Caenorhabditis elegans: one gene and its partner. The protein of the gene in region 1 interacts with the protein of each later gene in a pairwise test. Each region holds a gene or a part of one and is shown on either strand. Other genes may lie near its edges. The genes, in order: K12H4.3 and C15A11.4.

Evidence for each region.
Region 2: the proteins of K12H4.3 (region 1) and C15A11.4 interact in a two-hybrid assay, tested with the Caenorhabditis elegans proteins (one large-scale study listed by BioGRID).

What each region holds. Positions count from the first base shown.
Region 1 is NC_003281.10:8,043,991-8,048,382, reverse strand, and holds K12H4.3 (Ribosome biogenesis protein BRX1 homolog), read right to left. Parts: upstream 2,350-4,392; 5' UTR 2,339-2,349; coding exon 2,222-2,338; intron 2,098-2,221; coding exon 1,645-2,097; intron 1,572-1,644; coding exon 1,433-1,571; intron 1,380-1,432; coding exon 1,156-1,379; intron 1,013-1,155; coding exon 887-1,012; 3' UTR 771-886; downstream 1-770. Other genes in the region: mals-1 (Mitochondrial Assembly of ribosomal Large Subunit), read right to left, coding at 3-128, 173-334, 386-670; spcs-3 (Signal peptidase complex subunit 3), read right to left, coding at 2,599-2,701, 2,750-2,895, 2,956-3,106, 3,206-3,348; K12H4.5 (uncharacterized protein), read right to left, coding at 3,603-3,896. UniProt on the Caenorhabditis elegans protein: Required for biogenesis of the 60S ribosomal subunit.
Region 2 is NC_003279.8:7,398,118-7,402,947, forward strand, and holds C15A11.4 (uncharacterized protein), read right to left. Parts: upstream 2,907-4,830; 5' UTR 2,736-2,906; intron 2,682-2,735; 5' UTR 2,681-2,681; coding exon 2,584-2,680; intron 2,540-2,583; coding exon 2,412-2,539; intron 2,342-2,411; coding exon 2,134-2,341; intron 1,853-2,133; coding exon 1,740-1,852; intron 1,665-1,739; coding exon 1,376-1,664; intron 1,263-1,375; coding exon 1,155-1,262; intron 1,094-1,154; coding exon 962-1,093; intron 913-961; coding exon 791-912; 3' UTR 593-790; downstream 1-592. Other genes in the region: col-7 (Cuticle collagen 7), read left to right, coding at 3,580-3,720, 3,782-4,591.

The DNA of each region.
Region 1 (4,392 bases):
CATTATCGTCTCGGTGGCAGCAAAATCTTCTGTTTCTCCTCATCAATCTCGTCTAAGATCCGATCATCGCCAGCCCAAATTGCTTCCAAATCGTACTTCTCACGGCATTCTTCACTCATTACGTGCACCTGAAGTATAGGCATTAAAAAATATAATATGTAGGAAGTAATACCTGAACTCTTTCCACCTCACTGACATACCATCCATTGCTTCGTTTTGTGCTCCTTCGTGCATGTGACATGGATCCATTCGACACTCCGTCAATTTTTAGAAGAGATCGAAGATTTTCAGAAATTGCTGAAGCTTGTCGCGAATTGAATGCTGAGCAAATTATCTGAAAATATGAGATTAATTTTCTCCTTACTGAATTACGAGGATTAATTACCTTATGTGTATACGGTGTCATTTCTGTTTCTTCTGATTTTACAACAAATACATCTTTTGCTCTTTGATCAGTCAAAGCTCCGACCACATTCTCTACAAAATCAGCGTCTTCTGACAAATTCTGGCTTCTGAATCCTGTCCGTTTTGGAGGTTCTTGACTTGTTTCGTGACTGGAAATGATTCCAGTTGGCTCTAATTCTTCGAAATATTCCTCTTCGATATGCGAATTTTGAGCAAGATATCGTAACTGTAGAATTGGACGAAGTCGTGTGAATCGTGTAAGCATTCTGAAACGACATATTCTTGACAAAAGCATCTCGAGAAATTAGAAAAATAATAAATTTGAGTTGGTTTTGACACATATTTAGAAAAAAACAATTGAATTTCGCTTTGATAATTTTTTATTCAAAAAAGGCATAAAAAGATCAGAGTAAGAAACAACAGAGTAGCTTGAGATAAAAAATCAACAATAACAACAAAAATGTGATAAATTCAACAAAAATTAATCGGATCCAGTGTACTTTGATGCTTGGCTCTTCTTCTTGCGAACACGACGTTTCTCAATTTGAGCAGTGATCTGAGCAGCAGCCTCTGAGTCAGCAGCGGCATTGTTTTGTGTATCGAATTCCTGGAAAGGAAGATAAATTAAAAACTCGTTCAAATCGATTGTGGTACTTGGAAATAATTGTATAATAATTTTATAGTAAATATTATGACTGTATTTTGTCAAATTTGATTTTAATTTCATGTTTTTTATTTTCAAAATCGTACCTTTCCAACCAAATCAACAGTCTTTTCAGCGAGAATTTCTGTGACTTTAGCTTGTTTGATATTTGATGCTTTCACAGCCAACTGTTTCTCGATATACGAATGTTGTCCTTTACGGTGTTCACGGCGGATCACATTTGGAGAGACGTAGTTTGGGTTGTCGTACAGTACGGCTCCTTCGAATGAGCCAGCGAACAAACGAACCATTTCCAAAACGAAGCGTGGTCCTGAAGAAAAATGTTGTGCATGTAAATAAAAAGTATTCAAACTATATACTCACCAACTTCCTGAAGTTGAAGACTCTCATCAACAATTTGAAAATTGCGGAACCAGATTTTATCACCTTCTCCAACAGAAAAATTAAAGACGTGATCCACAAATGGCTGACTGCGTGGATGATGATGTGGTGTTCCAAGAGTCTGAAATTATTTTGTGAAAATTATAATTTTTTCTAACAAAATATTTATTCAAATTCAATTTTTACAAAATTACCTGCATAAGCACGGCCTTGATAAGCTTCAATTGTGGTTTCTTATCAAAAGCATCGTCAAATGAAAGGACTGGTCTTGAAGCTCTCAGACAATTTCCTGACATTTTGAGTTCCTTCATTGTATGCACATTGTGCACCAAGAATTTGATGGATGGCCCCTTCTCAACATTTGACATCCAGAGATAAGTGTCCTTTCTCTTACGACTTTCAAAGTACATTACTTTTGTGCAATTCTTCATTTCAGCAATCTCATTGAGAACATTCAGAGATTTCTGCTGATCCAGCTTCGAATCTCCTTTTGCATGTGGCAACAAATCCTTGATGTCCTTCATCAAATAACGGGTGCGAACGTCGGCTCCGCGGGAACAGAGCACAAGTACACGTTCGCGGTTTGTCCAAAGTTCCGCGCGTTTACGGGTCTCCTCAGTTGCTTGTTTTGGCTGATCATCATTGTCCTGAAAATGTTACAATTAATAATAAGATGGTATTAGATATTGAAAATAAATTTTTTAGACTTTCCAATTAGAATCTTGTTCCAAAAAAACCTTTTGGAAATTAAACTAGCTAATAAAGATTTACCGATTCATCAGAAGAATCATCAGAGCTCGAGTCCTTGGCTCCGGCAGCTTCCCATTCCATTTTCTGGTGCGCAGATTCCTCCTCTTGAACTTTCTTGATTTTCGAGAACTTGCCCATTATTTCTGATCCTGAAGGTTGTAATTTAAAATAATATGGAAGAGAGAAACGAAAATAAGTAAATATGCAAAGGGTGAAAGCAACCAAGACATTTAATAAAAATTAATTTAATTCCCGGATTTTTAAATCTTATTATGAAATGTGGTGAAGAAAATCAAAAATAAGTTAAGAAATATCTCACAATCGGATGAATTAAATAAATTACGGATGAAACACATAACCCATAGTATTTCATATGAAACAAGTAAAATAAGATGTAACTAGGATCTTCGAGTAGTTGTGTATGTGGTTGGGAACGGAACAACAACTTGATCGGAAGATTGAACAAGACGAAGATAGCCAGAGTTTGGAATCACGTTGTATCTAAATATTTTAATATTTGGTTTTATTTATCGAATTTTCAATTCAAACCTCAAAACAAAGGTGACATTTTTGTGGTTAAGCAAATTGGTTCCATCGTCGAGGAAATAATACTTTGACTTGACACCGATCTCGTCCATAACCACACGGTCAGCACGTTCCACAATTCTGTCCCATAGCACCACTTGGTTAACCTCCTACAATTGCAAAAAAAAAGAAGTTTTTTTCGATCCTCAATAAAAGTTTCCAAAGCTTACGTTGACTTTCGATTTATATTCTGCAACCAAATAAACAAACAATTGCTTGACGTTCCAGTTGAAAATCTTTGAAAAATCGACTTTCAGATTGAAGTTTAGTGTGGCGAGATCGGCTTGTTGCTCATCCGTGGCGTAGTCGACAACGTTTCTCCTGAAAATGGAATAAGATTTACAGAAATACGTTTAAAATGTTTTCGGAGAAACGCTTGAAAGAATTTCGCAATTTTTTTATTTCTCTTATAAAACCTACACTTTGACATCGTTGACAGTGAGCTTGGTTGGAACAGTGTAGTCGAGGAAAACTGTTGACAGGAAACAAGCTGCTGTGACTGCGGCCATCACCCAAAGAGTGAACGCTAGGAGTGCGTTAGCACGAGACAGAAGATTGTGCATCTTTGAGCTCGAATCAGCCTGAAACTTTGGATAAAAATGAAAAATAAAATTAATATAAATACATATAGAAAATATAATTGTTGTGGCTGAAACACTTCAGTAGACAAATGAAAACAAATTTTAAAAAGGAAAACTTTCATTTACATTTTAAAAACTCTTCTAAAAAATAAAACACCGAATGTGTCCAATTTACAGTGAAAATCGAAAATCGTCTACGACTTATTGGCTTCTCGTTGATTATTTTGGACGATTGATCAATGAGCTGTCTCAACACTTGAAAGAAGATACGGTGCTGGATATTCTTCTGGTTTTCTCCAATTTTGTGCGATTGGGTCGTTGGAACGGACGACGTCGTAGTATCCGCGGTAGAATGGCTTATCACTTTCTGTCAAGTACTTCTTCATTTTATATCCGCCAATCAATAGTGTGGCTACTCCGAAAGTCGCGTAGAAGATAGTTTGCTCCGGGTATTTCTTGAGCATTCGATGTGGCAGGGTGCTCCAGTAAGCCCAGAGTCGGGCGCTTCGCGACACGTGGTACTTGATCATCACCCTGTAACATCCTCTAATAATGCCAAAAATAAAGCAAGAAAGTCTCGGAAATTAGTAAGTTATATCATAATGAATCGACATGCCAAAAAAAGGATCACATTATAAATTAATTAATTTAATACGAGGTGGAACGGGTTAATTGTTCAGAGAAGACAAAAACAAAACGATATTACTAAATCAATAAATGATTTCACATATTCAGTGTAATCTTTGAAGAAAACTTAATCCGATTAAACGTATTTAACTTAATTGTATTCTGTCACTTCTGCCTTCAAAGAGCCAAACGAATTAAACGTATATTTTTAGATTGATTATAATATTTCTGTTTGGCTACAATATTCTAATAATTTTCGATGACTGAAATACATAAATTTGAAAGCAAATGGCTTTAAAATTATAAGAAAACGTTGCAAAATACGAAAAATAAATACGCGTAATAGAGTCGAGAAATGCGCCAGTTACGAGAAATGTGTCAGTAGAACTATCCACGAAA
Region 2 (4,830 bases), on another chromosome or scaffold:
AATTTTTATCAACTTGTTACCTAATCCGTTGGAAAGTTCGAATAAACTTCAAAATTGAATGGAGTTGCTCAATCAAAAACTTTCAAAATTTTTATTTTCTGAAACGAAACTGCAACCAAACAGCAATCTTCCCCACTATACATAATATTTGAGATTGGAAACGGAACAATTTAATATAATATTTGAAGATTCTTTCCAGTGGAGAATCAAATCTGGAGGCTCCCGATGTGAAATTAGTTTAGTGTTAAAAAAGGAGGAGAAGATTGTTGAATAGGATCATGACGATGTTGTCAACACCCGGAAAAAGAAAAAAAGAAAAGAAGAAGAAGTCGAAAAAAGGAGGAAGAGTTATGATGTAGTACTCATATGGATTTACTACAAGTGAAAGTGAAAAACAAATCCATTGAAGTGGGCACTTTAAGCGGATAAAGTACGTGGGAAAACAGGGCGTGAAACAAACAAATCTTTTAAAAATGTAGAAAGACTTTTTGAGATTCGTTTTTGAAGGAAAAGTTAGAGAAATGGAAAAATCAACATTCTTTTCTGAAAGTGACTGCATCAGAAAATTGAACATACCTTAAAATGAAGATAATTTGTTCTTGTTCAATTTTATTTGTTCAAAAACAGTATGCAAATCCTCACAGACACTATTATTTTTGTTAAAACTTCAAAATAAGGTTTTGAGGAACACATAACAGCTATTTAAAACAAGGAAAAGTTTCATAGAATTTTCTTCCAATAAATAAATAAATAAACACCAAGGAAAATATCACAAGAATAACTAATTAATTCACGCAACCATCTCAAAGTTCTCCTGTTTTTCTTCACTATTTTCTTCCAATCTTCTCATCAAAATTTCACCAGACTTGGCAATGAGTGCAAAAAAACCGAAACCGCATAGAATTATTGTAACTGAAATATCCTGGTTTTCTCGGAAAAAATTTGAGAAGGGAAAACGTACCTGCTGCGGAAATCAGTCCCCACGAGGGATTTGTGAGCAGAAAACCAATTAAAGATGCCAATTCTAACACATAAATGAGCCCCGCAATGACTTGTCGATGGAGATGAGATCCAAGAAATGAACCAATTGGTGCTAAATTATGAACAATGTAAAAGTGGTGTAAAACATCAGAATTCGAGGGAATTTCATTTACCCATTGTTGCCACTACTGGTATTGTTACAGCAAAATAATTCCATGCAGTTTCCGATATGTCTCCCATCATAACCCCACGATACCAGAACCCAAACACAGAGACGATTCCTTAAAGTTGTACAGTTTTTTATTGTACTTTTGTGTCAAGTATACTCCAAATAAGTTTTGATAGAAAAGGCTAAAGGAATACTTAGTTCTAGGAGTTACAAACATTCTCTCACCTTTCAAAATCATAGTTGTGGGTGTAGCTGTTTTTTCGCTGACTCGAAATAATAGGGTCACAATTGAAAACATACAAATATCAATTCCACTTCCAGCAAATGCGTCAAAGACTCCTCCAACAATACCTGTTAAGAACAGAAGAAGACCTTTCCAGAAACAAAATTCTGGAATTTTGACAAATGTCGGCCTCTTTTTTTGAGCATTCAGTAGTCCGAGAGCAAAAGCAAATGCGGTCCATATTGATACGAACATCATTTTCTTCTGTGCTCCAGTGAAGAGAGGGTCAAACTGCAATGGAGTGACTGTTAGGGCAAAAAAACAGAGAGGATAATACGGAGAGGATAATTTTATGAACAAACTTACAACATGAACTCCAAAAATGAAACCCGGGATAGCACCAAGTACTCCAAAAATCACAGCCATTGATTCGTACTGAACCTTCATAAAAATCACGCAAACAAGTGAAGACATCATTCCTGAGAAAAATAATTGTATCGAGTTTGTTCTCATAATTTGCATAAGTTTTGCTCAGTCATGTTATTTTTAGTTGTAGAAATTCTAGAAAACTTACTTTTCTATGTTTGAGCAGGTGTTACATTTTAAAAATGTGTTCAGAAACATAAAACAGAAATTCGTAACAATTTTTACAGTAAACTCATTCGATGAATATGCATATTTCCTAATAAATACCGGTCCAGAAACGAAAAATCAATATTCTCACAATGCTGCAAAGCGACTCATTCCATTCCAGCCTTACCAATAGATTGTCCCATAAGAGAGAAATCTCTTGCAATTGAAGGTGCTAAATGTAGAATCAATGTCATAACCGGAAATGCAACAGCTCCAGCTCCTTCAGCAGTCATTCCAGCTACTAATGCACCCAAAATCATAGTAACTGGCATGTGCCAATAATCATTGTAGAGGTGGAAAAAGTTGTAACGGATTGCCGTGCTCCACCACAAAACCTGCAAATGAAAATAATATATTAAAAACACGAACCTTATGCAGCAATTAAAAACTACTAAAAATACCAACATGTACAAAGCAGAACGGTATCAAAACTGCTACAAATTTTCGGTATTTAATAAAAACGAAATCAGAAACTGTTGGATTTTCAGGAAAGTTTTGAACTTTTTCTGCATGTTTCTCATCTAGCTGCTGGCCTGGAAATCGGAAAATTATTTATATTTTCAGAAAAAAGAACAACCTTCTAGTAGATATTTCTTGCACCATTTTAGTATTTTAGAATTTGATTCCGTGGATGATTCTGTTTTTTCATCAGGGGTGGAAATGTTTTCCGACATTCTGGAATTAAGATTCGGAGAAATTTGTATCACAGTGAATATTAGATTTTCTTACCTTTGGTTGTGGAGATAATAAATACAGGTGAAGAAATTTCAGAATACGAGAAAAAAACAAAAAATAAAAGCTTTATAGAATTAAGATAACAAATGAAACGGGTTCCTGTTTATTATAAAGCTGCATTAGCAACCAATTGGGGAATGAAATAGACGACAGTCTAGGTTGGAAGAAGACAAGAATAATTGTCATCATTTATAATATATTCTTTTAGACTTTTGAACACATCGATCAGAACAACAAAACACAAATAAACTGTCTCTAAAAAAGCCCTTTTGTAATAATATCATGACATTCGTCATAATTTCTTCCTTTTCTTCGAACAACATAGTTGCAAATTGTAATCATGCAACAAGTTGAGTTATTTTCAACTATTTTGAAATCTGAACTTTTGAACGATTCAAATTTTATCAATATTTATTAATTGCAGTGACGCAGAAATGAAAATGCCAAAGCCAATCATCAAATAAAATGTCACAGCTCGAAATCTTCTTTTTTCAGTTACCGGAAGGATTGCCAAAATTGTTCTTCTTCAAAATTAGGATTTCTGCGAAACTTCCGCAATGTGATACATTTTACAATTGAACTTGAACTTGAAAGAAAATTGAATTGACCAGTCAATCTTAAAAATGACTTGCGTCTCTTCGGGAACGTATAATATTTTTTAATGAACATCGCCACAAAGAAGTCAACAGATTACAGCAAACTTCTCTGGAACCCATTCTCTTCTTGTCCTTTTTTCGAAACTTTACACTGTGAACCTAATCTGAACAGTTCAAGTGATGGCTATTGCTTTAAAAGGAGTGACTGAAAATTGTTGGAACACAGTCATTCACCTGGTAGAATGTCTTCAGCAACGTTTCTTTCGGTTATGGCCGGTTTATCCGGAATTGTGGTATTTGGAGCATTGATCTCTGTCTTCCATATTTATTCCGACATTAATTCGTTTGTTGAAGACAGTCATCGCGAATTGGGAGAGTTCAAGGTTAGTTTTTTATTAAATTAAAGTTTGAAAAAAATACATTTTGCTTAATTGAATTTTGAAGGGCTTTGCCAATGATGCTTGGAACTCAATGATAAACCAGGATGATTCTGTCCGTATGGCTCGTAGCGTCTTTGGTCGTCGTCGTCAAAAGAAGCAATCTCAATGCAATTGTGGTCAACAAGCATCCAATTGTCCAGCTGGACCACCAGGACCACCAGGAGCATCAGGAGATAAGGGGCATGATGGACAACCAGGACAAGCTGGAAAACCAGGACAGCCTGGTGTTGCTGGGCCATCTCATCATCAGAAACAAGAATGCATCAAATGTCCACAAGGACTTCCAGGACCAGCTGGAGTTCCAGGACAACCTGGACCAAAGGGACCAAATGGAAATCCAGGAGCCCCAGCACAAGGTGGAGGTCAGGGACCACCAGGACCTCCAGGGCCAGCTGGAAGTGCTGGATCACCAGGACAGGCCGGAGCTCCAGGAAATCCTGGTAGCCCAGGAAAATCTGGACAACGTGGACGCGGTCTTCCAGGACCATCGGGTGCACCAGGACCACAAGGACCACCAGGAGCCCCAGGTCAACCAGGAAGCGGGAATGCTCCAGGACCAGCTGGACCACCAGGGCCAGCAGGACCAAATGGACAACCAGGACATCCAGGACAAGATGGACAGCCAGGAGCACCAGGAAATGATGGAACACCAGGATCCGATGCTGCTTATTGTCCTTGCCCAACTCGTAGTTCTGTTCTTCGTCATCGTAATGTCAACCGTCATCGTGCAGCTGCTTCAAAGAAGCGTGTTGTTGCCAAGAAGCGTGTTGCAAAGAAGCGTGTGGTTGCAGCTAGACGTCATGTTCAAGCTTAAAATTATATATTTATTCTATAGACTCTTTCCAATAAAAGTTTCTTTAAAACAATTTCATTTTTTTGCATTATATCAAGAGGACAAACAGTAGAAATCAACTTCTTTGCTGCTAATATTCTCAATATACAAAAAAGATGAATTTCACTGCGATTTCTCACATCTGATTAGCGGATTGAGCTTTTGCCAAAAAAGTTACAAACATTATTCTAATCTCATACAAACAATAGCCACATCAAATT